7 linked regions of the Canis lupus familiaris genome follow. The protein of the gene in region 5 binds, or shares a complex with, the protein of the main gene of each other region. Links are inferred from orthologs where the notes say so. Each region holds a gene or a part of one and is shown on either strand. Other genes may lie near its edges.

What was found.
Region 1: SF3B2 (region 5) and BUD13 share a complex: the UniProt entries of both Homo sapiens proteins name them as parts of the minor spliceosome. The link is inferred for Canis lupus familiaris from reciprocal best matches to the Homo sapiens genes SF3B2 and BUD13.
Region 2: SF3B2 (region 5) and SNRPB share a complex: the UniProt entries of both Homo sapiens proteins name them as parts of the minor spliceosome. The link is inferred for Canis lupus familiaris from reciprocal best matches to the Homo sapiens genes SF3B2 and SNRPB.
Region 3: SF3B2 (region 5) and PPIL2 share a complex: the UniProt entries of both Homo sapiens proteins name them as parts of the minor spliceosome. The link is inferred for Canis lupus familiaris from reciprocal best matches to the Homo sapiens genes SF3B2 and PPIL2.
Region 4: SF3B2 (region 5) and SF3B3 share a complex: the UniProt entries of both Homo sapiens proteins name them as parts of the SF3B subcomplex of the 17S U2 SnRNP complex. The link is inferred for Canis lupus familiaris from reciprocal best matches to the Homo sapiens genes SF3B2 and SF3B3.
Region 6: SF3B2 (region 5) and SRRM2 share a complex: the UniProt entries of both Homo sapiens proteins name them as parts of the minor spliceosome. The link is inferred for Canis lupus familiaris from reciprocal best matches to the Homo sapiens genes SF3B2 and SRRM2.
Region 7: SF3B2 (region 5) and SRRM1 share a complex: the UniProt entries of both Homo sapiens proteins name them as parts of the minor spliceosome. The link is inferred for Canis lupus familiaris from reciprocal best matches to the Homo sapiens genes SF3B2 and SRRM1.

Annotation. Positions count from the first base shown.
Region 1 is NC_049226.1:16,817,065-16,821,532, forward strand, and holds the start of BUD13 (BUD13 homolog), read left to right. Parts: upstream 1-1,481; 5' UTR 1,482-1,524; coding exon 1,525-1,667; intron 1,668-3,961; coding exon 3,962-4,055; intron 4,056-4,468. UniProt on the Homo sapiens protein: Involved in pre-mRNA splicing as component of the activated spliceosome. As a component of the minor spliceosome, involved in the splicing of U12-type introns in pre-mRNAs.
Region 2 is NC_049245.1:19,125,503-19,129,892, forward strand, and holds the start of SNRPB (small nuclear ribonucleoprotein-associated proteins B and B'), read left to right. Parts: upstream 1-1,496; 5' UTR 1,497-1,651; coding exon 1,652-1,654; intron 1,655-4,078; coding exon 4,079-4,230; intron 4,231-4,390. UniProt on the Homo sapiens protein: Plays a role in pre-mRNA splicing as a core component of the spliceosomal U1, U2, U4 and U5 small nuclear ribonucleoproteins (snRNPs), the building blocks of the spliceosome.
Region 3 is NC_049247.1:31,118,347-31,122,153, forward strand, and holds part of PPIL2 (RING-type E3 ubiquitin-protein ligase PPIL2), read left to right. Parts: intron 1-2,012; coding exon 2,013-2,104; intron 2,105-2,941; coding exon 2,942-3,031; intron 3,032-3,807. UniProt on the Homo sapiens protein: Has a ubiquitin-protein ligase activity acting as an E3 ubiquitin protein ligase or as an ubiquitin-ubiquitin ligase promoting elongation of ubiquitin chains on substrates.
Region 4 is NC_049226.1:77,098,663-77,102,469, forward strand, and holds part of SF3B3 (splicing factor 3B subunit 3), read left to right. Parts: intron 1-338; coding exon 339-494; intron 495-1,009; coding exon 1,010-1,153; intron 1,154-3,807. UniProt on the Homo sapiens protein: Component of the 17S U2 SnRNP complex of the spliceosome, a large ribonucleoprotein complex that removes introns from transcribed pre-mRNAs.
Region 5 is NC_049239.1:51,708,410-51,712,216, reverse strand, and holds part of SF3B2 (splicing factor 3B subunit 2), read left to right. Parts: intron 1-362; coding exon 363-480; intron 481-808; coding exon 809-909; intron 910-1,238; coding exon 1,239-1,335; intron 1,336-1,522; coding exon 1,523-1,614; intron 1,615-1,976; coding exon 1,977-2,192; intron 2,193-2,345; coding exon 2,346-2,483; intron 2,484-2,653; coding exon 2,654-2,734; intron 2,735-2,947; coding exon 2,948-3,175; intron 3,176-3,807. UniProt on the Homo sapiens protein: Component of the 17S U2 SnRNP complex of the spliceosome, a large ribonucleoprotein complex that removes introns from transcribed pre-mRNAs.
Region 6 is NC_049227.1:38,736,226-38,740,783, forward strand, and holds the start of SRRM2 (serine/arginine repetitive matrix protein 2), read left to right. Parts: upstream 1-1,648; 5' UTR 1,649-1,663; coding exon 1,664-1,700; intron 1,701-3,870; coding exon 3,871-4,150; intron 4,151-4,558. UniProt on the Homo sapiens protein: Required for pre-mRNA splicing as component of the spliceosome. As a component of the minor spliceosome, involved in the splicing of U12-type introns in pre-mRNAs.
Region 7 is NC_049223.1:74,434,996-74,438,802, reverse strand, and holds part of SRRM1 (serine/arginine repetitive matrix protein 1), read left to right. Parts: intron 1-21; coding exon 22-137; intron 138-1,381; coding exon 1,382-1,585; intron 1,586-2,396; coding exon 2,397-2,591; intron 2,592-3,309; coding exon 3,310-3,429; intron 3,430-3,807. UniProt on the Homo sapiens protein: Part of pre- and post-splicing multiprotein mRNP complexes. As a component of the minor spliceosome, involved in the splicing of U12-type introns in pre-mRNAs. Involved in numerous pre-mRNA processing events.

The sequences.
Region 1 (4,468 bases), on a different chromosome or scaffold from region 5:
GTAGAACTCAAGACTAATGGGCAGGAGATGAGTTGATGGGGCTGAGAAGGTACTGGTAATGTTCAATGGAATGGAAAGATAAGTCTTCAAATGCCTGCTGACCACAAAGTAGTAGAGGCAGGGCTTTGAAAGTTCAGTTTGAGGTCCACCAAAGTGGATTAGAAGCCAACACAGGGTTGTGTCTGGGGGACCCATGGGGACCTCCAGCCAGTGAAGCCCTCTATCAATCTGGTATCCCCACAAGCCCTCAGAGACCCAGTCTGCTTTCCTTCCTGGGCCTCAGCTGGACCAGTCAGGACAACACTGTGGTTAAAAGTTCATCCATCAGGGCTGGGACTTCCACACCTATATTATATATAATTTTTTTTTTGAGCATGTATCCTGGATTCTGAGCAGAGCATTTATAAAGTATAACAAGCAAGCCTTCTTGACTAATAGGCTTTCAAACAGTGACAAAAATTTAACATGTTGAGATAAGGGAAATACTTGATCTAACATTTTCACAAACTTTGGATTTACCTCTTGTACCTCACTTGGCTAGCTTCTGCTCCCAAGGGTCACATTTTGGCTGTATAAAGTTGGACAACTTCCTTAACCTCTCCAAGCTTTGGTTTTTCTCATCTGTGAAACAAGCATAATAAAACCACTTGAGAGATTTGTTAAATGAGGTAATTTATGTAAAATAATGTTCACAAGAAGAAAAGGAGTATGTCCCCTCCCCCCGGCCCCTCCCAACTTGATAATTAGAATTCAGCTTCTCTATCTGGCTGAAAATAGAGCCAGGTCCTTTTCACAGGAAAGATTGCAGGCAACAGATAGTTGGGGGCTACGTATTCTATCAAAAGTGGGGAAGGTCACAGGTTAGAGAAACCTCCATATTTTTTCATGGTAATCACGTTTGGAATTCCTGACCTCTCTTGAATGGTTCGTGGAAGACTATTTAGAGCAGTCTAACCTCCACCTAACATACTAATACAAACAACATACATACTGTGCTTCAGACACTGTGCTAAGCATCTCACGCAGTAAAAGTGTCTCATTTCTCGAAGCCATTTAGTTAGGTGCCATTATACTCCCCAGTTCGTTAATTAAGTTGCCCCCGGACCTACAGTTGGAAGTTTCGGAGCCCGAACTCCAGCTTAGGGACACCGTCCCTCCAGAGCCCGAGGTCTTGACGACGCTATGGTGCTTCTGGAGCTGCTGGGGACAGAGATCTTGTTTGGGTCGTGGTTTTAGCCTCCCGCCAGCTGCATCGTAGGTTGAAGGGGCAGACAGGTGGACAAACCCCTGCCGGTCGGGCCGGCAGGGGCAGGGGCAGGGGGAGGGGGAGGTGGAGGTGCAATCGGAGGCGCGCGCACCTGCGGAGAGCCAGCAAGCGCAGCCGGGGGTCAGCCCGGGGCGGGTCCCACAGCTCTCCACCACTTCCGGCCCCGGCCCCGCCCCCCCGGGGGCCCCCCGCCGTGCGCTTCGCGTTCAGGAAATTTGTCCCCAGCGCCGAGCCGTCTCCCCGCCCCCGCCGCTGCCATGGCGGCAGCTCCGCCGCTCTCCAAGGCCGAGTATCTGAAGCGTTACTTGTCTGGGGCAGGTGCCGGCGTCGACGGGGGCCCGGACTCCGGTCGCAAGCGTCGCAAAAAGCGGCCGAAGCCTGGCGGGGCCGGCGGCAGGGGGTGAGTGGGTGCTGGCGGGGCGGGGCGGGGCCTGCGGCGGCCGGCCGCCCCTCTGCTCCCCGGCTCCGCGCTCGGCCGGCGCGCCCCGCGGCCGTGCGCTCGCCGCCTCCGGCCGCCGGTAACTTTCTCAGGCTGTTCCCGCCCCGGTGGCTTTCCGGCCTCTCCCGTGGAGAGTGAGTGTCGCGCCGAGAGGAACGGCGGGGTCGCCCGGAGCCTGTGATGGCACGGCCGGGGGCTCGGCGGAGTCGGGCGCCGCGCGCACCTGGGGCCGAGTCCTGCGCGGGCGGGCGCCGACCGAGGCTCCAGGATTCCGCGGCGGAGCGGGGCCGCCGTGCCGCTCTCCCGGCGGGTCCGCGCAGGACCCCAGGACGTGACTTCCTTCGGAAGTAGTGCCGCCGCGGGTGTAGCTAATCAAGATGCGGTCACAGCACATCAGGACGGGCGCCAAATCCAGCGTGCCCGGGGACCCCTTAGGAAGGGGGGGATTTGGACGCAGAGATGGGGAAAGCCCGCCGTGTGAAGATGGAGGCCGGCCTTGGGCTGGGTTTACGCTGCCACTAGTAGCCAGAGTATGCGAGTACGCCTGCCGCTGCCAGCAGTTGGAACAGCCAAGGAATCCCCCCGCCCCCAGCCTTCCCAGTGGGCACTGCCTTGCAGACACCTTGATTTCAGACTTCAAGCCCCCAGGACCCTGAGAGAGTACAGTTCTGTTGCCTTAAGCCGCCTGGTTGGCGGCACTTTGTCAGGCAGCCCTGGGGAACCAATACGCCCAGCTCCAGAGACCAAATCCACTTCCTTTTTTTTTTTTTTTTTTTAATTTTTATTTATTTATGATAGTCACACACAGAGAGAGAGAGAGAGAGAGAGGCAGAGACACAGGCAGAGGGAGAAGCAGGCTCCATACACCGGGAGCCCAACGTGGGATTCGATCCCAGGTCTCCAGGATCGCGCCCTGGGCCAAAGGCGGGCGCCAAACCGCTGCGCCACCCAGGGATCCCCCAAATCCACTTCCTTTCGTGGGTTGCTTCTTGCCTGTTCTTGCCCTCTGTCTTCCTGCCTTCCGACTTGTGTCGATTGTTTGGACACAGACAGTGCCATGTAGAGAAAATAGCTTGCTTGACCTCTGGAGTAATACCAGTCAGAGTTTGAGTCCTGGCTGTGCCACGTTGTGGGCTCTACGGCCTTGGGCAACATACTGTCTCTCCAAGACTGTTACCGCAGCTTCCTTTCTTTATTTTTTAAAAGATTGATTATTTATTTATTTATTCACAAGAGACACAGAGAGAGGCAGAAACCCAGGCAGAGGGAGAAGCAGGCTCCATGCAGGGAGCCTGACGTGGGACTTGATCCCTGGACCCTGGAATCAGGCCCTAAGCTGAAGGCAGATGCTCAACCGCTGAGCCACCCAGGCGTCCCTATTTTTTTTTTTTTTTTAAGATTTTATTTATTTATTCATGAGAGACACAGAGAGGTAGAGAAAGAAGCAGAGAGAAGCAGGCTCCATGCAGGGAGCCTGATGTGGGACTCGATCCCAGCACTCCAGAATCATGGCCTGGGCGGAAGGGAGACACTCAACCACTAAGCCACCCAGGTGTCCCGGTTACTGCCTCTTTAAAAGGAGAGTAATACTATCGCTCTATGGTTGTGATTAGAGAGGTATAAAGTGATAACTGGCTGTTCAGATAGAATTGTTCACATCATGGTAGTCATTGTTAATTACTTGGACTCATGCATAGTTTATCTGTGTAACAAACATGTATTGAACACCTACTTCTTATGCCAGTTACTTCAGGGTGTTCAGGATATCACAGTGAATGAGAAGGCATAGTCCCTATTCTAGTGGGCCTTATAGTTTAACAGGGATCCTGGCTTTAAACAGCTAATTACACAACTAACTGATTTATTTTCTTTGTGATTAATGCAATGAAAGTATTCCAAGGATGCATAACAGAGGTTCTTAGTCATGGGAAGTAAGGGGAGAAGCTCAAGGAAGTTAAATGTATCCTAGGACTCTTAAGAGTTTCCCATTAAAGAAAGAAGAGTAGGCCAGGCCGAAGGAAGGAACTGAATATGTGAAAACTGATGTGGTAAGGTATTGGCTCATTCCAGGCACCAAAAGATGATTAGCAAGGTAGGGAACTGTGGAGGCAGTGGTACAGGTGAAGTTGGCCGTATAGGCAAAGACTGGACCTTGCAGAGTCTTGTAGCTTATACTAAATCCATAGATAACTGTTTGTGGGCTGTCACCCAAGAATGATTCTTCCCTTTTTGATCTTTTTATTTTTCATATTTAGAATGCGGATTGTGGATGATGATGTGAGCTGGACATCTATCTCTACCACTAAACCAGAAAAAGAGGAAGAAGATGATGATGGAGATTTGCCTGTGGTGTGTATCTTTTGAGGTTGTGAGGACTTTGAAATGCAAGACTCTCAATCTTGATTCTTAGTACAGGGTGGATTTATAAGGGGGAATGTTAGGGCCCAAAAGAGGTGACACTTTTCAAAGAGCTGTTTTATTTAATTAATTAATTTTTAAAAAAGATTTTATTTATTCATGAGAGACACAGAGAGAGAGGCAGAGAGATAGGCAGAGAGAGAAGCAGGCTCTCTCTGAGGAGCCTGATGGACTCAGGAGCCTGATACAGAACTTGATCTCAGGACCCCAGGATCATGATCTGAGCAGAAGGCATATGTCCAGTTCAACTTGTGAGCCCTCCAAGAGCTGTTCTAAAGTAGTTTACTTTGATAATGCCTATAGACCGCGTGTTTTCTTTGTTCATGGAGGGCCTCATTAGCCTA
Region 2 (4,390 bases), on a different chromosome or scaffold from region 5:
TCCCTTCCTTCCTGTCTCTTCAGGTCTCTGTTGAATCTTTCTCTACCCTCTGGAAGTACTGCTGTTCCTCAGTGGTCTGTTCATGTCCTCTGGATCCAGGGACCCTTTAACCACACTCCCACTGCAGTCTTCCAGATTCCAGGGTCAGGTCCTTTAACTGTCCCCCAACTGTTCTCTAGCCCCCAAATTACTGCTTTAGGCTTCTTAGCTATTACCTGTGTCAATTCATAGGTCTAAAGACCCCTAAACACAGCCCTGATACCATGCCCCCTCAGCCCTTCATCCCTGGAGTCCAACCTTGCTAGTGACACCCCCCATCATCCCTCGAAGACAACCTAGCTGTACACCTGCCCTAGTTTGTCAGCAATGGGATTCCTAGCATAATCTTTTCCCCAGTGGAAATGGAATATAATACCATGCTATGCTGTTTTTATTTTCTCCCAATATGCATGATATATCTGTTTGCTGCAGCCCTTCAGGTGCAGACACTATGCAGTATATGCTTTGTGTCAATGTCACCCTGGCTCCCCATGCACATCCAAGTCCCTCGGTGACCCTGCTCCCATCTTTGGCTTGCCTGATGACTGTAGACCAGCTCTGGCCCATGCAAATCTTAAAAAAATAAAAAAAGAAGATTTTATTTATTCATGAGAGAGAGAGAGAGAGAGAGAGAGAGGAAGGGGCAGAGACATAGGCAGAGGGAAAAGCAGGTTCCCTGCGGGGATCGTGATGCGGGACTCGATCCCAGGATCCCAGGATCATGACCTAAGCCAAAGGCAGATGCTCAACCAGTCAGCCACCCAGGCGTCCCTCACCATGTTATATTTAGTATATTAGACCTCCAGGTCAAGCAGGTGGCTGGAGATTTTGGCCACGAGTTAAATAAAGCACCCAGGGTTAGAGGAATAAATCTGAAATTCCTGAGCATTTAGGTAGTATTCACAAGTCATAGGACTGGATGGGATTGGTTGATTGACTCATTTGTTCATGGAAATATGTTTAGAGCTAGGCATTGCGGTAACGAAAAATACACAAAGGAAAATCTATACCCTCAGAACTTGCATCCTAATGGGGAGGAATAACAACAGAAACACGGTATATTAGGGATCACCATTAAGGAGGAAGATAAAGCAGGTAAGGGCGGGAAGGCTGCAGTTTAAATAAGGATGGCCAGGGAAGTCCTCAGTGGGAAAATGTTACTTGAGCTGAAGTCCTGAAGGATGTTCGGGCAGGAGTCGTGCAGGTACCTGGACGACTAGCATTGCAAAGGTGCTAAGGCAGGAGCTCGTCCAGCAAGTTCACAGAAAAGGACAGGCCAGGGAAGAGCGGTGGGACCTGGAGACCCAGAGGTAATGGGGAGGGGCGTGCGGGCAGCTCCGGAACCGATTGAAGCTAGGGAGGTGACCTAACATCCCGGGAAATGTTGTTTGACGTTAGCCCCGCCCCAAACTCCCGCGGGCGTCTAGGCTCCCAGGTCGGCGTTTTGGCCGGAACTCAAGAGCCGACGCCGGGCCGGAAGTAGTTTTTACCCGACCCCATTTTATCCGCGGCCGCACTTCCGGTAGCGGCGGCGGGAAGCGGTGTAGTAGCGGGCGTCTAGGCCTCTGCTGAGGGCAATCCGGCGGGAATCGGAGCCATCAGAACCGCCACCATGGTGAGGACGGGCAGGCCGGCTGCGCGGGAACTTCCGAGTCTGTCGTGGAGTGGGCACCGCGGCCGGTCGGGAGGAGGTCGTGGGTTGGGGGCTCATGGCGGCGAAGGCCCGGGCCGCAGCCGCCGCGTCTGGGCGGGGGAGACTCGGACCGTGGCCTTTGGACGGGTTGGGGGAAGGGAGGGCTGGGGCCGAGGGACGGAGGCCGGGGCCGCTAGGTGGTGGCGAGGATGGGCCCGCGGCTGTCCACGCCGCTGTAGCCACGGTGCTTGGGATCCTGCAGGCACGAAGTAAACTTTTGCGCAATAAATGCGCGTTTGGGGTTTCGGAGCAGACATAAGAGCCTCAGGAGGACTCGTGAAACGGGGTGAGGGTCTGAGGGGGACTTGCGGAAAGCGGGGAGGACTTCTGGCCGAAACTAGAGAGCGTGCTTGGGTCTAGCAGATGGGAGGAGGGAATGGGAGGGAAACCGAAGATGGAGGAAGGGTTCAACTCCTTTGTGGGGCAGGTCTGTGTGAGCGTGTCTGGCTTCTCAGGCACTGGGGCTACTCCACTCCTTTCGCTTTCTAGTTGCGGACGCAGGTAATATGATCCAGAGTGGTAATTAAGCGCTGCGTAAAAGTAACGGGGCGGGGGGGGGGGCGGGATAAGAACGTTTTCCTGGAGTAGATGGTTCCTGAGCAGAGTCCTAACAGGTTGTTACAGGAGTCTCCCCAGCCTCGATGGAAGGGAGTATTGTAGATTGGGAGGGCTCCAAGAGCAGGGCGTGAAGGGCCGCACTGTTGAGGGTTCCTGGAGGGGTCGAGGGGGAAGGGATGGAAGAAGAGATGGGAGGAATTGGCAGGAACCTGGCTACTAAAGGCTTTCCATGCTGCCTGATCCCGTTGGTGATGAGGGATGCCGTGGAAGGATGTAGCCAGCGAAATGACGTGGACGCAGTTGTGTTTAGAAAGAGCGCTCTGTTCTGTGGCTGTTGCGTGTTGGGTGAACCGAAAGCCGGGGATTGTTTGTAGGATTGGTTTGGAAGAGTAGGCACTGGATTCAGTCTGTCTAGGTTCCAGACCAGCTTCCTGGCTGTGAGACGGGGCAAGCTACTTAACCTCTCCTGACCTCAGTGGCTGCATCTGTAAAATAGGAATAATAATTAGCCTGGTTTTTAGAATTAAATGAGATATTTAGAGACTGCTGGGTGGCTCAGTAGTTAAACATCTGCCTTGGGCCCAAGGTGTGATCCTGGAGACCCGGGATTTAGTCCCACATCAGGCTCCTTGCATGGAGCCTGCTTCTCCCTCTGCCTGTGTCTCTGCCTTTCTGTGTCTCTCATGAATAAATAAATAAAATGTTTAAAAAAATAAAAGATATTTAGTGCTTGTCACAGTGCCTGGTACGCAGTGAACGACCAGGAAGACTTACCTATTATAAGGTGGACAGACCAGTAAATGTTGCCATAAGGCTTCAGATCTGTGTGGCTAGAATCTAGAGGGCAGATTTAAATGGGGACACTGGACTCAAGTTAACCAGCTTGTAGCTGGTTAACAGTCATTTGAGGGAGAGTGAGCCACATAACTTGTGTCTCTAGGCAAGGCTCTGATCCACACATTGGTGGGTTGAAAAACCTGTTCTTGTCCAAGCTTACAGAGATGAACAGCAAGCACAGTAACTGGCAAGAAGACGACACTTGGAAGGCTGATACACAAATCAAATGCCAGGTTATTTCTAGAGAGGTATAACTGCCAAAGGCACCTGGCAATTTGCGTTGTGAGTTCTATTTAGTCTGTCTTTTACCAAAGCTACCTTGGAAGCCAGGCTACAAACCAGAAAAGGTTGTTGGATTGATAAAGAAGTTTAAAGACCATTATGTGTTCAAACTGATGAGCACCCTGGCCACCAGAAAGTTTCCCTCCCAAAGACAGTTTTGGAGGCACATTAACATTTTTCGTTTAGGGATTCCATTTGCCTTGCCTCCAAGCTCATCAGCTCCTTTCTGATAATAGATTCTTGCTGATTGGATCCTTAGTGCCAATCATTCCAGCTGTTTTACTCGGTCCTTTAACTGGGCTGTGGGTGTTCCACAGCACTGGAGTCACACACCTGTAACCTGCATAGTGGCAGATGGCTAATCTGGTATGGGGGGATTGGATTAGTTTGGAGATACCTTACTCCTCACCCCTGAAACTGACACAGCAGACACACAGGCAATTGTGATATGAAAAAGACTGATTTTAAGGGAGAGTAAGAGAGTTGTGGGCAGAGGTCTGGGCTGAACACTGGGTGTGGGAGAATTCCCCGGGAAAGGAAGACAGAGCTGAGAAGTTGTTGAGAGAGATAGCCATGTGGAAAAGTAGGCCAGAGCTGGTTTTTAGGAAGGACCAGGGATATATAGGTTCAAAAGAGCTTGACTCTGATCCTGCTGATTTCTCCTTGCAGACTGTGGGCAAGAGCAGCAAGATGCTGCAGCACATCGACTATAGGATGAGGTGCATCCTACAAGACGGCCGGATCTTCATTGGCACCTTCAAGGCTTTTGACAAGCATATGAATTTGATTCTCTGTGACTGTGATGAGTTCAGGAAAATCAAGTGAGAAGTGGGCTGCATGGGGGTGGGATTTAAATTGTGAGGGAAATGGACTGGGTGGGTGGGCCAAGCAACAGGTAGTGATGTAGCCAGCTGGTTCCTTGGTTTGCTCTCCTGTGTTAGAGGGCAGATTTAAATGGGGACGCTGGACTCTTAAGAAATC
Region 3 (3,807 bases), on a different chromosome or scaffold from region 5:
CAGACCAGAAGCACAGTGCTTTGTGGACAGTCCCTGGAGGTTGAGGAGCTCCACGTAGGTAGCCAAGCCCCATGGACCTTCTCTGAGATCAGTCAACTCAGGCCCACAGTGTGTCTCTCATTCAGCACATACTTACTGTTTCTCATGTGCAGAGAGCAAAACAGGTCATTTCCTGGAGTGAAAGGAAGCTTGCATTATGGTGAGGGAGGAAACTGGAAAACAGTTGACCATAGTGTGTCAGATGCTGCCTCTGCCAGCAACTGGATTTCAGGAGCAGGGGAGGAGAGAGTCCTAGCAAGACACGCTGACAGGGTTTGAGTGGGAATCCGATGAGGGAGGAGGCGTGAGATGTGGGGGGAAAGCATCCCACTGCAAAGGTCCTAAGGAGGCCTGTGTTGCTGAAACAGTGTGAGAGTGGAAGCAAGGGGTTGTGGTTGGAGGAGTCTGAGTTGGGGACGGTGCAGAGCAGTTAGTTGTGCAGGGGCCAGGCAACTACGGGTCTCTCAGATGCTGGCCAGAGAGGAGACATGAGATCTGACTATTCACCTGTGTTATTTTCTTTTTTTAAATAATTTTGACCAAAAAAATAGTAATAATTTTGACCAGCAAGCACCTTTTTTACCTTTTTTGTTTTGTTTTAAGTAGGCTCCACACCCAGCGTGGGGCCCCCTGCAGGGCTCACATTCCTAACCCTATGATTAAGACCTGAGTTGAGATCAAGAGTTGGACGCTTAACTGACTGAGTCACCCAGGAGCCCCTTTTGCCTTATTGTTATTTTAGAAGATGTGGGATCCCTGGGTGGCGCAGTGGTTTGGCGCCTGCCTTTGGCCCGGGGTGTGATCCTGGAGACCCGGGATCGAATCCCACGTCGGGCTCCTGGTGCATGGAGCCTGCTTCTCCCTCTGCCTGTGTCTTTGCCTTTCTCTCTCTCTCTCTCTCTCTGACTATCATAAAAAAAAAAAAAATTAGAAGATGTACTTATTTATTAGAGAGCGAGAGCATGGGTGTGTGCTTGCTTGTGAGGAGGAGAAGGGGCAGAGGGATAGGAGAGAGAATCCCCAAGTATACTCCACGCGGAGCATGGAGCCCGATGAGGGGCTCCATTCCAGGACCCTGAGATCATGACCTGAGCCGAAATCGAGAGTCAAGCGCTTAACTGACTGAGCCACCCAGGCAACTCCCTTTTTTTGTTTTTAATTGAAAACTTCAGATGCATGAAAGTAGAGAGACTTAGTACGGTGATCCCCTGCCCTGTAGCCATCACCCAGCTTCAGTTCCCATCCACTTAGGACTGTGTGATTTTACCTGTGCTCCCCTGTGGCACCTGCTTAGGTAATTTTGAAGCAGATGATCAGAAACGTGTCGTTTCATGCTTAAGTACTTCAGTGTATATCTCTAACAGATAAGGATTTAAAATACTTTTTTAAATATAGTACCGCCGTTCCATCTAAAAAGTTAACAGGAATTCCTTAGTGTCATCAAGTAACCCAGCCAGTGGTCAGAATCTGGAATACTTTCATGATCTTTTTTTTTATAGTTTTCAAATCAAGATTTTTAAAAAATCCACACAGTTTTGTGTGGTTGGTATCGCCTAAGTCTCTTAATCTGTAGATACTCTGCTGCTCTTTTTTCATAGTTTGTTAAGACTTACTTGAATGGGCTTTCTGGCTGCCTGGTGTGGAGTCGGCGGGCACGGGCAGGGAGGGCAGTGGGAGTTTGTTGCAATGACACAGCGAGGGAATGGGGGGGCGTATAGGAGGTTGGGGAATGTGGCAAGATCTGAGATGGAGGAGGGGTGGTGGTTGCTAGCAGCGTGTTGGGGGCTGATGGAGCAGACGACTCCAAGGAAGACCACGTAGGGTTTGGGTTTTGCGGGACAAGTAGGAGTTTCTCAGTGGGATTGGAACAGGAGGCTTGAGCAGCTGGCTGTCCCTCTGGGTCTTCGGAGGTTCAGGGCATGCTGACACAATGTCTCCTTTCTCTGGTCTCTTGGCGTGTGTCTTCTTTCTAGGAAAGTACCACTGCCCAGTGCTGTTCACCGTATTCACCAACAACACCCACATCGTAGCCATCAGGACCACCGGCAACGTGTACACCTATGAGGTGGGTTCTCAGGAGCTGCGGCACATATAGGTTCTTCAGGTATATGCCCCAGGTATATGCCTCAGCACCCAGGTGCTGAGGGTGCACCGGGCGCCGTGGGCACAGCCTGTCCCCGTGGAGCTTACGTGCTAGAGCCCTTCCTGTGGCCTCCTGACCTGAAACCTGGGAGGTTGTTTTATACTCGGGGGGTTGGCCCTGCAGTCTTCATCTTCGCTGACCAGGCCCTGGGAGGGAACCTGTGCTCTGATGGCAGGTCCAGGAGAGCGCTGAGCCCCCCCTCTGCCGCCTCCTGCTGGAGTCCCCAGGAGGAGCAGATGCAGGCTGGTGGGCACGCCTGGCGGTGGGCGGCCCCGATTTCCACCCGCATCCTGCTGCTCTGGGCCAGCAGAGAGTACAGCAGCAGTCGCGTGGGTGCTGTGTTGCAGGGAAGCCCTCTCTGAGCTGTTTTCCCACCTGTCCCTGGCTGTTGGCAGGGTCTGGATCTCCAACGCTGCCCTGTGGGGCCTGGGGGTCACTTTTGCCCAAAGTGTGCACAGATTTGGTTGGAGGGACTTGGTAGAGATGCACGGCCAGCGTTGTTGAGCCTGTTTGCTGATGTCAGATGTGTATCATTGGAGTGTCCTTCAGTGAGCTTTGCTGAGATGGCTGATTCGAGTGTCTGGGGCTCGGCAAGCTCCGTCCTCCATGGTGGGGCCACTGCTGTGAGCCCCCAAAGAGTACGTGGTCGTGCCATCCTTTTCTGCACCCCTGGAATGGCGCCAGCCCCTGGGTGGGCTCCAGGCTGCTGGTGCCAGGGTGGGGCAGGCACCATAACAGCGTGCTCCCTCCTGGCTGCAGGCAGTGGAGCAGCTAAATATCAAGGCCAAGAACTTCCGAGACCTGCTGACAGACGAGCCCTTCTCTCGGCAGGATATCATCACCCTCCAGGTGGGCGTCCCCTTGCCACTGCTGTTCCCAGGGAGGACTGGGGTGCCCCCTGCCAACCCCTCCTTCTCGCCCAGGCTCTGGGGCCTGCCTAGTTTTGGTTTCCCAGCTCCTGGGAGCACCCCCAGCTCCAGTGCCCCTGCTATCAGTCTAGGTCTTCACACGGCTGCTCTTCTCTGGTTCTCACACCTCTCCTAATGCCTGTCCTTGCTCTGTCACGGCCACTCATGTCTTCCATGAAAGCCATCTCCGAATCCAAGTGGGAGAGGATGGGCTGGTGTGTGCTCTACCCCAGGGTTGAGCATAGGACGTGCCTTGAGGTGCCAGACCTGAGTGGGTTCCTGAAAGGCCTGGACTTAGAAACTCTAGGGGTGGCCTTCGTGGGCCATTCCTGTCCATGGCTTGTCCCCTCCTCGTCAGAGGTCCATGCACACTCACTCCCATGGGGTTGCTTGCAGTCACCAGAGCCTGAGGACTGCAGGCTCTGTGTCTGGCAGCTGGGCTGGAGGGAGCTTGGGAGGGTGTGTCGGAGGCCTAAGGTGGATGCCCTGTGTCTCCCTACATCCCCATGATGAGGTCTGTCCATCCTGTGGCTGCCTAGCAGCAAAGGATGCTCGTCAGCCATGTGCTGAGGGGCAGGGGACAGAGTTTGGCGTGCAGACCAGCCATTTGTGCCACTGTCCCCACCCTGCCCCTGCTCGTGCCCTTGCCTAGGCGGAGCCCTCTCCTGGCCCCTGCTGCCCTCCATTCCCAGCTCGACACCCCATTCTCTGCTGCCG
Region 4 (3,807 bases), on a different chromosome or scaffold from region 5:
CATATTTGAATTCTCTTTCACCAAAAAGTATTCTCATGAACAGATAAGCAGTTTTCTGTATTTCTATTTGCTTTAGGAAATTTGTAGCAAGCATATTGTATTTGTCAAAGACAAAGATACTGTGTTGTCCCTTGAGTGTCTTGTCAGTAATTTTGCTTGCTGTTAGCCTGTAGAGTTCAGTCTTGGGATCTTAAGTAGAGAAATGCTTGGTCATTGATTATAATAAGAGGAGTGAGAGGAAGCACAAAGGAATTTAACAGTACCTCTTCCTTTCCTAGGCCCAGGGTTTAGGGGCGAGTTGGAGTGGTTTGTCACCTCTCTCTGTTTCATTTATGTAGTCAGGACAGCTGAATGAGTACACAGAGCGGAAGGAGATGTCAGCAGACGTGGTGTGCATGAGTCTGGCCAATGTGCCTCCTGGAGAACAACGGTCTCGCTTCCTGGCTGTGGGGCTGGTGGACAATACTGTCAGAATCATCTCTCTGGACCCCTCAGTGAGTGTTACCCTGGACTTCAAGGATCTTCTCACTGGAATCTGAGCTGCTGGCCCATTCCTGATGGGCATTTCTGGGATCAGCTAGGTTAGCCCCTGAAATCAGCATCTGCCACTTGTGATTATCATAGCAGCACACCTCAGGAGTCTTCTGCAGTACTTTAAAGATCCTAATCCCAGACTACTAAGTGCTTCCTTACCTTAAGCCTTGACTCCCTTTTATAGTTAAACAAAACCCAAAGACTTTGCAGAAAAGGAATCAGACTGGCTTTGGACCTTAGATAAGAATAAGTGCCCTTTGCTTATTTACATTTACCGTTATCCACTTTTATGGAAAGGAAAGCATGGTTCTTTCTAGAGCTTATTCTAACATTTGGTTTAACTAGTAGTAACCCATTTAGAACTCACTCTGTAAGATTCCCCTATCCACAAGAAAGTTGTTTCTTCACTCCTCAAATTAGATTTTTCCAAAATTGGTTATTTCCCATGTTTTATTCTTTTCTCTTTCCTCCTTAGGACTGTTTGCAGCCCCTGAGCATGCAGGCTCTCCCAGCCCAGCCTGAGTCCTTGTGTATTGTGGAAATGGGTGGAACTGAGAAGCAAGATGAACTGGGTGAGAGGGGCTCTATTGGCTTCCTATACCTGAATATTGGGTTGCAGGTAAGAGATCCAAGGCTCACATTGTTGTTTTTTTGTTGTTTTGTTTTTTATTTTTATTTAAAATTTTTTTTTTTACTTCTTCATTCATGAGAGATACACAGAGAGAGGCAGAGACATAGGCTGAGGGAGAAGCAGGCTCCTTCCTGGGAGCCCAATGGGAGACTCGATCTCAGGACGCTGGGATCACACCCTGAACTGAAGGCAGATGAGCATTGTTGATGTCAGGTCGTCTTTAGCTTTTATGCAGTCCTTGTTCAATATGGGCATTTGCTGAGCCTGTTCAGTTTACCACCTTATGAAAACTGAATGGTGCTGCTGTGTGTTCCTTTTCTCTTAGTACTAATCAGAAAGGTCAGGCCTAGGAAAAGATACTTTCATAAAGAAAGAGTCTTTGATATAAATGTGATCACTGCTTTGGGTCAGAACTAGAGGGAGTCTGAAGTGTCATCTGCAGTTTTCACAATATGCAGCTTTTGGAAACTAATACCTTTTGTTTTATAACGGACTCCTTTAGTAATAAAGGACCCCTAGATGTTTACTGTTGTCAAAGCATTGGGGCTTTTCAGAGCATGAAAAGCAGCAACCTAAGGATAGCAGAGTGTCAGTGTTTTTGACGATACACTTTTCGTTTTCCTTAATGATTATTTGTTCAGCTCCCTGGGTAAATAATCTAGCCCTGCTATGTCTTGCTATTTCTCAATTACTTCCTAATTGAGAAATTTCTCAAACATGCACAGGAGTTAGACTAATGTAACATGTACCCATCACTTGTTTTATTTTTTTATTGTATTTTTATTTTTTTAAGGATTTTATTTCTTTATTTATGAGAGACCCACAGAGAAAGCAGAGACACAGGCAGAGGGAGAAGCAGGCTCCCTGCAGGGAGCCCGATTTGGGACTCGATCCTGGGTCTCCAGAATCAGGCACCGGGCTGAAGGCGGCGCCAAACCGCCGAGCCACGCAGGCTGCCCTCCATCACTCGTTTTAATAGTTAACCAACATTCTACTGTTCTTGTTTTATCTATTCTTTGTTTTTTCTTTCTTCTGGGATATGTTAAAGCAAATCCAAGGTGATTTATCATTTCATCGATAAATCTTGAGAATGTAGCTCTACCAGATTTATGGGTTTTCTTTTTAGGCTTCAATTTTATTATCATGCCTAATACAACTTAACAGTTCTTTAATATCTGATACCTGTTTGTGTTCTGGTTTTTCTTGTTTCGTTTTTGTTTTTCCAGAAATGTTTTTGACTTTAGTTCTACCTAGGATCTGCATAAAGCTATCTGTAGTTTGCATCTGTGTGATCTATCCCTTTATGTTTCTTTTAATAAATTCTACTCCATTAAGTTTTTTTTTTTTTAAAGAAACTAGATCATTTTTTTTTTTAATTTTTATTTATTTTATGATAGTCACAGAGAGAGAGAGAGAGAGAGAGAGGCAGAGACACAGGCAGAGGAAGAAGCAGGCTCCATGCACCAGGAGCCCGACGTGGGTTTCGATCCCGGGTCTCCAGGATCACACCCTGGGCCAAAGGCAGGCGCTAAACCGCTGCACCACCCAGGGATCCCCAGAAACTAGATCATTTTCTTGAATTTCTACCTGCTGGCTTTGGCAGAGTCCTTCCTTGTGTGTTTGATGTTTATCTATCCTCTATTTCTTGTAAACTATTGGGTGAGTCTAGACCATGCTATTCATTAAAAATATAATGCAAGTCACATGTGTAATTTAAATACTCAAGTAGCCACAAAAAGGGAACAGATGAGGTTAATCTTAATGTTTTCTTTAACCCAGTATATTTTAAATGTCATTTCAATTTGTAATCACTATAAAAATTAACATAACTCATGTTCTCTCTTTTTGAACAAAGTCTTATTTTTAAAATATTTTTTATTTATTCATGAGAGAGAGAGGCAGAGACAGAGACAGGCAGAGGGAGAAGCAGGCTCCACGCAGGGAGCCCGATGTGGGACTCGATCCCGGGCCCCCAGGATCACACCCTGGGCTGAAGGTGGCGTTAAACCTCTGAGCCATCCAGGCTGCCCCAGATTTATTATTTTTGGGGGGGCCCAATAAGTGGCACTCTTTACTTTCTATTATATCAGGAGGCATGTAATGTCTGGCTATCCTACTTGTAATGGTGTTAAGATGTTTGTATGTATTTTAAATTATTTGCTCCCTGTCAACCTTTTACCTAGCAGCAGCTGTCGATGCCCATTGCCTAGATTCATTATGTCATTAGGGATTGGGAAATGACGATTTTCTGTTTCTTTCTTTCTTTTTTTTTTTTTTTTTAAAGCTTTTATTTATGAGCGCGAGAGAGAGAGAGAGAGAGAGAGAGAGAGAGAGAGAGAGGCAGAGACACAGGCAGAGGGAGACGCAGGCTCCATCCAGGGAGCCTGACGCGGGACTTGATCCCCGGTCTTCAGGATCAGGCCTTGGGCTGAAAGCAGCGCTAAACCACTGAGCCACCCGGGCTGCCCCGATTTTCTGTTTCATCTTCATTTCTTTAGCTGGAACTTGTCTCTGAAGACAAAATTTGCTTACCCCAAAGTATAGTTCGTATAGGGAAAGGATAAATACTTTGTTTTTCCCCTTGTTCATCTTATTTTCACAGTAAAGAGTTGGTGCCGTAGCAATCTCCAATGGGGGCTCAA
Region 5 (3,807 bases):
ATTCATTGTTCCTTAGACATAACTTAATCTCTTGGGGGAAAAGCTCTTGTTAAAAAAATAGAAGGCTGTGTGTAGTTAAATGTTAAATTCTCCGTTAGAAACCACGAGTTTCCCAGGTTTTTTTTTTTTTTTTTTTTTTTTTTGCGTGTTATTTGCAGGGGTTTTCTTTTGTGATAGAGGCCACTTCCATTTGGATCAATAGTCCAATCACCCTTCCAGGGTGGGGCTGGTGAGGATGTCAGAACTCAAGTGGTACCTGATTGTTCTTCTTTGGGCCTCCTGGCTAAAAGACTACATTTGCCAGAGGCTGCCTGACCAATGGATTTCCAAGCTGTGTATTCACTCCCACATCTCTCTTATAGGCAGCTGTGCTCCTGGAGCAGGAACGTCAGCAGGAGATTGCCAAGATGGGCACCCCAGTCCCTCGGCCCCCACAAGACATGGGCCAGATTGGTGTTCGCACTCCTCTGGGTCCTCGAGGTAAGACCCTGGAAATGGAAGAGAAGGGAAAGGAGTGTGTTTGAAAAATCCTAAATGTAAGTACTTATTCTTTAAAGTGCGTATATTGTAAGCATATAGTCCAATGAATTGTAATAAATTGAACAACTCCCACAACTAGCACTTGGAGCAAGAAACAAAATTAAAAAAAAAAAAAGAAAAAAGAAAACAATTCTAGTACCTTAGAAGTTCTCCTGGGCTTCTTCTAGCCATCCCCTTTCCCTAAGGGTTACCATTGGTCTTTAGCAAGGAAGGTAATTTTTAAAATGAACATTGTGTCTTCTGACATTGGATTTTTTTCTTCTCACAGTTGCTGCTCCAGTGGGCCCCACTCCCACTGTTTTGCCCATGGGGGCCCCGGTTCCCCGGCCTCGTGGTCCCCCACCACCTCCTGGAGATGAGAATAGAGAGGTGAGATTGGTGATTTCTTTCTAGGGATAGGAGAGTGTGGTTTAGGAAGGTACTGTTTCTGGATTTTTAGAGAAGGATTCTGAGAGAAGATAGGAGGGCTTCTGGGGCTGGGGGGCAGGTGAGAGCCATACTTCGTTAAAGCATATTTATGTAGGGCAGGAAGTGGGATTTGGGAGACATTTCTGGGGCAGGGTTCTGAGGGGTGCTGAGGGATGATTGGGTCCAATTAGTATTGTTGCTCTTGGCTGTGTACATCACCTGGCTGGCAGCCTTTCTAGTACAAGAGATGGAAGTCTTGAGATCATCTCTGTCTGGGTTGTGTATGGCAGATGGATGACCCTTCTGTGGGACCCAAGATCCCCCAAGCTTTGGAAAAGATCCTGCAGCTGAAGGAAAGCCGTCAGGAAGAGATGAACTCTCAACAGGGTGAGTGTTTTGTGTTCCGAGGGTTGTAGGATGGAACCTGGAGAGGCGGAGGCCGAGTCTGCATTCTTCCATCCCTTCCCTGAGGAGGGTTTGAGAGAGAAACTGGTTCTTGGTAAAGAGGAGTCACTGTGGGCAAGTGTCAGGGTACCAATGTGAGGAGACTGATGGCCACTTTCCTCCCTTACAGAAGAAGAGGAAATGGAAACAGACACTCGCTCATCCCTGGGCCAGTCTGCGTCGGAGACTGAGGAGGACACTGTGTCTGTCTCCAAGAAAGAGGTATGGGATGGACCTGAGTCTGGAAAGAATGTCCGGGGACTAAAGTAGCACCAGTTTTAGGTGTCCAATGACCAATAGCTGCTGTTTGTGCCAGTTCCCAAGCATCTTATAGATATTTTGCATTTAATTATCATAAATCCTTGCAGTTCAGGGTACCGTGTGTGCTTGTGTTTTATAGTTGCAAATATTGAGATTTTGAGAGGTGCAATAATTTACCAAGAGGTACACAGCTTGAGAGGGGCAGAACTTTGGAGACCTTTTCATGGTCTCTGTCCTCAGTCCCTTGGGGAAATTGGACGAGGAGATTAGGGGGCAGACATCATGCTTGGATTCTCCAACCCAGTTGGTTTTCCTTTTGCAAGAAAAACCGGAAGCGTCGGAACCGAAAGAAGAAGAAAAAGCCCCAGCGGGTTCGGGGGGCATCATCTGAGAGCTCTGGGGATCGAGAGAAAGAGTCAACCCGGTCCCGTGGCTCTGACTCCCCGGCAGCTGATGTTGAAATTGAGTATGTGACTGAGGAGCCTGAAATTTATGAGCCCAACTTCATCTTCTTCAAGAGGATCTTTGAGGCTTTCAAGGTACAGGGAGCAGTGCCTTAAGAAGAGGCAGAGCTGAGCAGGGAAGGGAAGGGGATGGGGAAAGATGTGGAAAGGAGGGCATCTTTTCAATGCTGCGTTCAGGAACTAGAGAGGGACACAGGGCTGGAGTTTCCATGTTGTCTGCCTCCTCAGCTCACTGATGACGTGAAGAAGGAGAAAGAGAAGGAGCCAGAGAAACTTGACAAACTGGAGAACTCTACGGCCCCCAAGAAGAAGGGCTTTGAGGAAGAGCACAAGGACAGTGATGACGATAGCAGTGATGACGAACAGGTGAGGCCCTCATGTTCCTGGTCGGGGGGGTAGGGCTTCAAGATGGGTGGCTGAGATGCATCCAGTGGGGGATCATGATGAACGCCTACAAAGAATCACTTTGGGGTGAGCTGGGAAGTGTGATTCACACCTCAGAGTCCTGCTCAAAAGAAATAATGGTTTTGTTCTAGGAGAAGAAGCCAGAAGCCCCCAAGTTATCCAAGAAAAAGTTGCGCCGAATGAATCGCTTCACTGTGGCTGAACTGAAGCAGGTGAGACCTGAGTTCATCTAGCAGATCCTAGAGTGAGCATGGCTGGGAGTCCACATGAGAAGCTCCTACAAATCCACAGGGGTCTTGTTTTAGGGATAGGGAGGAAGGCTTTGAAGGAGGCCTGGGTCACATGGGCACGTGTCCTCTGAGGAAGAGAAAGTTTTAGATCTGAGAGGTTATGGCTTTCTAGTGGCATGTTGCTGTGTTTTCCAGCTTGTGGCTCGGCCTGATGTTGTGGAGATGCATGATGTTACTGCGCAGGACCCCAAGCTCTTGGTTCACCTCAAGGCCACTCGGAATTCTGTCCCTGTACCACGCCACTGGTGTTTTAAGCGCAAGTACCTACAGGGCAAACGAGGCATTGAGAAGCCCCCCTTTGAGCTGCCAGACTTCATCAAACGCACAGGCATCCAGGAGATGAGGGAGGCCCTGCAGGAGAAGGTAAGGGACTGGCCAGGGCTCAGATCTGCCCTGAAGATCCACATCCTTAACAGCAACCTATTTCAAAATTGGGAATGTGGTTCCCAAAGTCCATCTATTTCTCAATTGTCTAATAATCCATTTTCCAGAAGTCAGCATTGCATATGACACAGGGAGGGAGGGGAGGGAGGGAAAGATCTCAACTTCTGAAAAGCAGACCTGGCCTCTGTTTGGAGCTAGCTCTCCTGCCTCTTGCTGAGACTTCTGATTCCATGTGGCTCTGTTTGCCTCTTGTGTCCTCATTCCTCCTCTGCCTACACTTTGGCAGCTCTTTGATCTGCACACAGTGACTCCTTTTTCCTACTTTGACTATACTTGAAGTTCTGTGTTCCCAAGGGAGCCTGATGCACTTTGTGGCTAGAGATTCATGGTGGTTGTGTAACTTCTTAGATTTAAATTTTTAAATTAAATATTTTGAGTAGGTAATATTTTGTGGGCTGCAAAACATTGCAGGAGGTATAAAAGTACATGATGAAAACTGCCTCCCTGTTAGACTCCTGTCACCCAGTTCTCTCCAGAGGCAGCTAATGAGGTCAGTCTCTTGATCAGATGGCTTTAAAAATATATTTATCAACGTACAGAGCTGAAAATGG
Region 6 (4,558 bases), on a different chromosome or scaffold from region 5:
TCACGCGGGAGCAGCTATGTCGCTGGGCTCGCACCATCAACTCCAAACATGGGGAGATAAAATGGCGGCCGTGTCCCTGGCGAAGCCACATACGGGTCCCGCGGCACGCACGACCTACAACTCCCACAGTGCTCTGCGTCGAAAGTGGGAGGGCGGGGAGCGCGCTAGCGACCCTCGATGTGGCGCTTAGGCCCTGTGCCCCGCCCCGCTCCCGGCGGAAACGCTCTGGAATACGTGGCCCGTTTCGGGCCGCTCGCCCGCCCTTCGTCGCACTGGCTAAAGGGATTTGTAGTTCCTTGGCTGTGGAGTTGACCCTCCCTCGGGCCTTAAGAAACTACAGTTCCCGGTGTGGCTTCGGCGCCTGCGCACAATGCCGCAGGGCGTACTACGGTTCCCGACGGGCCCTGCGCCGCGCGCGCGGGTGCGTGCTGACGCGCTTAGTTGGTCGTGCTGACGTGCAGCGCGGCCCAGGCGGGGTGCGAGTGGCGCAGTCGGAACCCGCTGCGGCCCCTGAGGAAGCGAGGAGGCGTCGGTCTCGGCTGAGGCAGGCAGGCGGACCGGCGAGGCGAGGCGGCAGCTCCAGGCCCCGAGGGACTCGGGAGCTTAAGCAGCGGCAGCGGCGGCAACACCTCTCCCCCTCGGAGGCGGCGGGCGGAGGCGGCGGCGGGTGAGAGGGTGAGGGAGCGCGCGAGCCGGGTGGGGGAGGGGCGGCGGCCCCCGGCGCGAGGCCAAAGCGCGCGGAGAACGGTCCAGGCCGCCGCGCGCACGCGCGCTCGCCGCTCCTAGCTCGTGCGGACGCTCTCGCTCGCCTGCCTCCCCTCCCCCCCTCGGCTGCGTTCGGTTCCCGTCGCGCGCGGGCTTTTACTGCCCTCCCCTCCCCCATGGCAACGGCTCGCGCCGCCGACTGCTCTCGGGTTCGCGCGCGCTCGCGGCGGGGAGGTGGGGAGCGCGCGCCTCGGCTTCTCGCCTCCCCCACGCGTGCGGCCGAGGAGGCCCTCCCGCGGCTGCCCCTTCCGACATTTTGTCGGTGGGGAGGCGGCGGCGGGGGCCAGTTCCCCGATCGCTTCCCCCGAGCCCCTCCGGCCTCCGGGCCCTCCTGCGGGCTTGCGGTCCGGCGCAGAGCCGCCCAGACTCCCGGGCGCCGCGCAGCCCCCTCCCCCATGCCTCAAGGCCGAAAATAGGCCTCGGCAGCCCGGCCGCTGCTGGGAGGCCCGGGACGAGGTGTCCGCGCGTCGGGCCCCGAAGCGCTAGGCAGAGGGGCGCTGCAAACCTTGCTCCCCCCACCTTTTTTTTTTTTTTTTTTTTTTTAAGACGTGTTCAGCCCAGGTACGTAAAGGCAGTCTGGGTCTCTCTTAATTCTTTTTTTCATTTTTCCACTCTATAATCGTCTTCTCAAAAGTTGTGTTAAAGCCGAGGAGGCCGTTGGAGCCCTTCCTTGGGAAGGAATCGCTGGGCGCCGTTTCAGGCATTATTTGGCACCCAACTCTCGGAGGCTTCATTTCCACTCACGCTTATCTAAGATGTCGTCTGGACCAGAAATTCGGAGACAGTGTTGTGTTTTAAGTGTGTGCTATTAGGTTTTCTTCTTGAACTAATATTTCAAACTTTCTGGGTTCCATAGTGTCCTCCGAGCCACCGAAATGCCCCCTCTCCGCGCTTACCTATGTCCATTTTCCTGCACGTCTACCTCCTTGTTTTTGGTGCGTTGTCTTCAGTATCTTAGTATTGAATTTCCAGGTTGCTTTCTAACGCTTTGTTAGTTTGGCATTGTGATAAATTTCCCAACAAAAGAAATTCTCTGTTGTCTTGCTTTGCAGCTTATTTTTACTCTGACTTTAGCTTGAGTAACTTTTGTGCTTTCCCAGTCTGTGGACTCCAGTTAAGAATGCCTGTTTTATTACAAAGTTACTTTTTTTGGTTATTTCTCTGTGTTGACGTTCCCCTTAGGTTCTTCCTTTTAGTGTTTTGAGGACTGCCTCTGAAGCTGTGGGATTGGGGGGGGGGCTTGTTCTCTAAAAGTTCTACAATTCGTTGTGTTTTAATACTCTTTTCTCAGCAGCTACTGGTTTTTTCTCCTAATGGAGTGGGAGGATTTTTGTGTGAGGTGGTATGGAAGTGTGGGTGAATGGTTAAGCTGAAGAATTAATTGCATGTCAGAAGCGTTCTTTATGGGAGGCAGAAATTAGGTGGGGTTTAGAGAAAGAGACCTAGGTTTAGAGTAGGGAGGATTGGGATTTGAGAAAATGAAGTGAAGATTGGAAGGTAGAGAAAGTGATTTGTGCTGTAAGGAGATTTTTCAATTTTTTGTGCATATTTACTTGCCTTTCCTAGGTTTAGCTTTGTCTCCTTTACCTTAGGCCTTTTTTTTTTTTTCCAAGCCCCCCCCCCCCCCCCCCCCCCAAGCTTTCTTGGATCTGCTAATGGGATTGGGCAGGGATCCAGCCTTTAGAGTTTGGGGATAGAGGTACAAGCAGTTCTGGAATTCGGCAATTTTTCTTCCATTCGTTGTCTCCCCATACTTATGTTTTTGTTTTAGTATATTTTTCCAGGTGTTTGTATACTTTTTAAAAAAATTTTAGAATTTTAAAAATAAGTCTTTTATCCATTTTTATCTCTTTAACTAATTTTACTTATTTTTTGGGTTTTATTCTTGGGGTAATTTTCCCTCATTTACGCTCTGTGAAGCTGTCTTCGACAGGATAAGATGAGGGAAGAAATAAAGTATACATAATAGGGAAAATAAATAGAGTATGCGTAACTAAGCGATCTAACCAGAAGAATGGGGGTTTGAGGGTTCTTTGGAACAGGTTGAGAAAATAGAACTTGGTAGGAGGCATGGAGATAACATGAAAGGGATAAGACAGGGCTGGAGGAGAAACTCTAGGAAGTCAGATACAGAGGATTGCCAGGGAAAGCTGACAGTTTGAGGTTAGTGAAGATGGGTATAAAGTGTGAGGGGGCTTCTGAATAAGTTGAGGGCAAGGGACGTAGAGAGTACAGGGTAGTTGGAGCAGAGGAGGCTGATTTGATGTGTTCAGAGCATTGAGTTGAGAACAGATGATGTGTAAAAGCTAACGAGACTTGGGTGAGCTGCAGATCATGTAAGAAATCCTATTGGGAAGGAAATTAAAGGAATAAGTTATTAGGTGGGGTTGGTAATAGGAGCTTATAATATTTGGAAACAAGGAAATGGTCTCTTGGGAGGTAAAGAAGAAGAGGATTCTGTATTCAGGAATCATATGTTTATGATAGGCGTGCTGGCTTTTATTCTTGAGTGTGAGGTTGCACAGGACACTTGGTTTATGTTGGAACCAATTAGTCCACAGTTCAAATATGTAGGTTTTGTTTTTGTATCGGGGTAGTCTGAAGTTTTCAGGTCAGTTTTTAGAAGAACCTTTGAACTTGGACTGTGGGCCTTTAGGTGACACAGATCCATGGTGGTGGTTGTGCCGTGTTGGGAGATCCTAGTCAGTTAACAGATGTTTGGGATTAGATTGGTTGGTGGAGACGTCACTTGTGCTTATTGGGGCCAAAGGAGAATAAAGAGGTAGTGTGGAGAAATTTGGGAGAAATAGGTTTCTTTTTTTTTTTTTTTTTTTTTTTTTAAGGGTGGAAAAGAACATTTAGGTGCAAACAAATGGAAATAGTTCTCGCATTTTGGGGGGAAAGGGCTGTAAGCGTAGATGTCATTCAATGGAAAGTATAGGAAAGGTAAGGAAGGGTTTTTGTTAGGAGACCAGGAGGATTATGCAGCTAAAGGAGGTGTAATGTGGAGATTCATGTTGAAATAGGGATGAAGGAGAACAGGGATTTGGGTGGTGGTTAGTTTGGGGTCAGGGCCCTGACCCGTGTTTCCCCGCTCCCCTTCAGGAGCGGTGGTGCCCCCCCCTCCCCCCGGGCACGGGGCCATGTACAACGGGATCGGGCTGCCGACGCCCCGGGGCAGCGGCACCAACGGCTACGTCCAGCGCAACCTGTCCCTGGTGCGGGGCCGCCGGGGTGAGCGGCCTGACTACAAGGGAGAGGAGGAACTGCGGCGCCTGGAGGCTGCCCTGGTGAAGCGGCCTAATCCTGACATCCTGGACCACGAGCGCAAGCGGCGCGTGGAGCTGCGATGCCTCGAGCTGGAAGAGATGATGGAAGAGCAGGGGTGAGGGGAGGGCTGGGGGAGAGCCAAGCACTGAGTGCAGAGCTGGGGGAATTAGGTGGGATGTAGAGCACTTAGGGCTGGTTGAAGAGACTTGGAGAGGAGTTGTAGGAGGGGAGGAGGTTAAGGAGCTAGCAAGTGGAAAGGAGTTAAGGGACAGCTCAAAGTGGGAGATGAGGTAACTGCGACAAGAGGAAGCCTGAGGGAGTCTGAATTATTTAGGTGAAGGTCCTTGGGGAAAGGGGGGAGCCATTGAGAAACAAAAATGTACTTTAAGGGGAGAGGTGGGAAAGCAGGTGTCAGGCAAGAGAAGAGCTAAGGTATAAGCTGACAGGTGTTGCCATTGGTAGAGAAGAGGAAAGTAAACGGATATAAAGGATTGAGGCCTTGGAAAATATCGAAGGCAGGAAA
Region 7 (3,807 bases), on a different chromosome or scaffold from region 5:
TTGAAAACTTGATCTTTGCAGATTGAACAAGAAAAGTTGGCATCTATGAAAAAGCAAGATGAAGACAAGGATAAGAGGGATAAGGAAGAAAAAGAAAGCAGCAGAGAAAAAAGGGAGAGGTCTCGAAGCCCAAGAAGGTATAATGCAGTGCATGCATACCTGATGTTTTGCAAGTATTCTGTGTGTAGAAAATTGCACAGAATAAAAAGGAAGCTAACAGCACTATTCAGAGAACTTCTTCCATCGTTCATTTTCACAATGGACTGAATAAGGCTTGTCTCTAGCCTGAAATACATCAGTTTTGTTTGAGACCGAACATTTGACTAGAATAATTGTCTCTAAAATCTTGGTGAATAATACAACTGTTAATTCCTATATCAAAATCTAGATTTTTATTTTTTACCATATTGCTTTTGTTTAAATATAGCATTGAATTATTTTACTCTTTTTCTTTCCTTTTTATTAGAAGTCTGTGCCCATTAGCTAGTTGTATTATACTTACCTAATTCCCTGTTCTGCTTTTCTTAGATGGTTGTACTGAACCCAAAACAGATCACTTATTTTTCTTCTTCCTTCCAATGAGACTATGGTTAGGTTCCCATTTTTAAACCCACGACTCAGCTTCTACTGTATTTGTGGTGAAAGGTGAGAATTCTCCTAGGCTTTCATTTTTAGAGTTCTAAGTTTTTCATAAGTCTGCTGGAATTAGTAAAGGGAGGAGGAGATTTCTTTGTCCATTTTTATTTATATATTTGGTATTAAAACCTTATCAGGGAAGCAGTCTTCTAGAGTTCAGCACATCATGGTGGTTAACTATTGATGAACCAGGTCTGCTGTTTTACTTCAAGTTAGAGAAACTGTAATTGTAAAGGAAAGTGGTCTTTTTCAAAGACTATGCAAGTTTGACTTTTTTTTTTTCCTCTTTTGAAGAGCATATTACTTTAATTGCACTAGTCATTTTTCTAAAATATATATAGACTACCTAACTCTGTGGTGGGATCTTTCTGCATTTAAATTGTTTTGTTGGACTTGAGTTACTATTAGGGAATATCATTTTACCTCTCAAGCATTCCTTTCCTCTGAAAAGTTAGTCTTTGGTCTCCTCGTCCCTAGGAATGATTAAAAATCTAAATCTAGAGTCCTGGGTCAGTGCTTTCCTCTTATAACTGGTATACCGGAAAATATTGTTACCTTTGTTTGCTTGCCTTTCTGGTTTTCTTTTGGCCCTTCCCCTGTTAAGGAAATATGACAAGATATCTTATTTTCACAAGGAATTTCTCAGGTATAACAAACAGTGGTGTAATTAAAAAGATTAATTTGCCCTTTGATCTCTCCCAATCCACATTATTCAAAAACCTGAAAAAAATTACTTTCATCCTAGACGCAAATCCAGATCTCCTTCCCCTAGAAGACGATCTTCCCCTGTCAGGAGAGAGAGAAAGCGCAGTCATTCTCGATCTCCCCGTCACAGAACCAAGAGCCGGAGTCCTTCCCCTGCTCCAGAAAAGAAGGAAAAAACTCCAGAGCTCCCAGAACCATCAGTGAAAGTAAAAGAACCTTCAGTACAAGAGGCCACTTCTACTAGGCAAGTATATAAAAATTCATTTATAAATATCATAGTTTAGGCTGTTAATAACTGGCTGCCAATATAATTGAATTACAAACATAAAATTACTTATTTCCCTTTTATATATATATATATATTTTTTTTAAGATTTTATTTATTCATGAGAGAGACAGAGAGAGAGAGGCAAAGACATAGGCAGAGGGAGAAGCAGGCTCCATGCAGGGAGCCCGATGTGAGACTTGATCCCAGGACTCCAGGATCACGCCCTGAGCCGAAGACAGGCGCCAAACCGCTGAGCCACCCAGGGATCCCCCCCCTTTTATATTTTTTAAATCATAAAATCAGCTTGTTGAAAAGATTCCAATTCTACAGAAGAGTTTTAAGTAAATGCCCTGAAGGTGACCACTGCTATCAGGTGGTTGTATTGTTTCAGATATTTTATATATTGTAATTTGCCTTTTTTCTCCAATATCGTGGACAGCTTTGTACTTTAAAAATGTTTGTGGTTAGGATCGTTACTTGCTCTTTAAGTTTCAGTGATGTGTATATATCTAGGGTTAAGGAGAAGTCTTCATGGATTTTGAAAACATTTAATTTTGTTTATTTATTTTCTTAAGATTTTATTTATTTGACAGAGAGCCAGGGAGCCTGAGGATCCCAGGACCCTGGGATCATGACCTGATCAGAAGGCAGACACTTAACTGACTGAGCCACCCTGTTTTCAGGCACCCCTGAGAACATTTTAAAAAGAAAAATCCTACTATGTCATTATGTTATGACTTAGGAGTCAGCTGAAAAAGGAAAAAAAATAAGCTTTCTGTTTATACAGTGACATCCTGAAAGTTCCCAAACCCGAACCTGTACCAGAGCCTAAAGAACCTACTCCGGAGAAAAATTCCAAAAAGGAAAAGGAGAAGGAGAAGACCCGACCAAGATCTCGGTCACGTTCCAAATCAAGATCCCGGACACGGTCTCGCTCTCCGTCTCATACTCGACCTAGACGGCGTCATAGATCCCGATCAAGGTGAGCTATGGCTTCAAGATCGACATAGATCTTGGGTTTTGCATGCTGCTCTCTGGATAGAATTTTTTTTTTAAGATTTTATTCATGAGAGACACAGAGAAGCAGAGACATAGAGGGAGAAGCAAGCTCCCTGTGGGACTCAGTCCCAGGACCCTGGGATCACAACCCGAGCCAAAGACAGATGCTCAACCACTGAGCTTTCTACCTAGGCATCCCTCTGGGTAGAATTAGATAAATAATTTCAGAGCAGTAGAAAGCATTTAGTACAAGTGTTATTCTTTGGACCTAAAGAGAGAATCTGAGGACACTTTCTGTGTACCATAAAAATCTCTACGTAAATGGAAAATGGTATGCCTTGAAGTCCATTTTTAAAATCTAGTTGTTGGAAAAAAAAAGAAAAAAAAAATAAAATCTAGTTGTTGGGCAGCCCAGGTTGCTCAGCGGTTTAGCGCCACCTTCAGCCCAGGGTGTGATCTTGGAGACCCGGGATTGAGTCACATATCAGGCTCCATGCAAAGAACCTCTTTCTTCCTCTGCCTGTGTCTGTGCCTCTCTCTCTTTATGTCTCTCATGAATAAATAAATAAAATCTTTTAAAAAAATGTGTGTGTGTATATGTATATATATATATATATATATATAGTTGTTGAGAAAGCTGTATCAAGGAATTCGTCCCTTGCTCTTGTTTATTCAGGTCTTAATTCTGTTTGTTCTGGCAGATCATACTCCCCTAGAAGGAGGCCAAGTCCGAGAAGGCGGCCATCTCCTCGCAGAAGAACCCCACCAAGACGAATGCCACCTCCACCCAGGCATAGAAGGAGTAGATCTCCAGTGAGACGGTGAGGGCTTTCTTTATTTCTTGTTCTTTATCTATCCCTTTCCTTTGCTTTTTTTCTTTATCTTTTTCTGATTTTCCTTTTTTTTTTTTTTTTTAATTTGGAAGTGTCAGTACATGAAAGTACACCACATTTGCTTTAGGCAATGTTTGAATTAGTGTCTCCCTAGAATAAAGAGCTCATGAGTGATATTATTAGGTGATGCTTTCTAAAGAGCCTCTTGAGGTTTAATTGTGCAATGAAAAGCAATGCTAGTGCAGTGTTGGGGGGGGGGACAAATTTACCATTTTACTGATGTTTTGTATTAAGTTACCCTTTGACCCCAAGATGTCCTAGGAACAAGGGAATTTGCCACACACCCTATTCCTTTGGATTTTAATT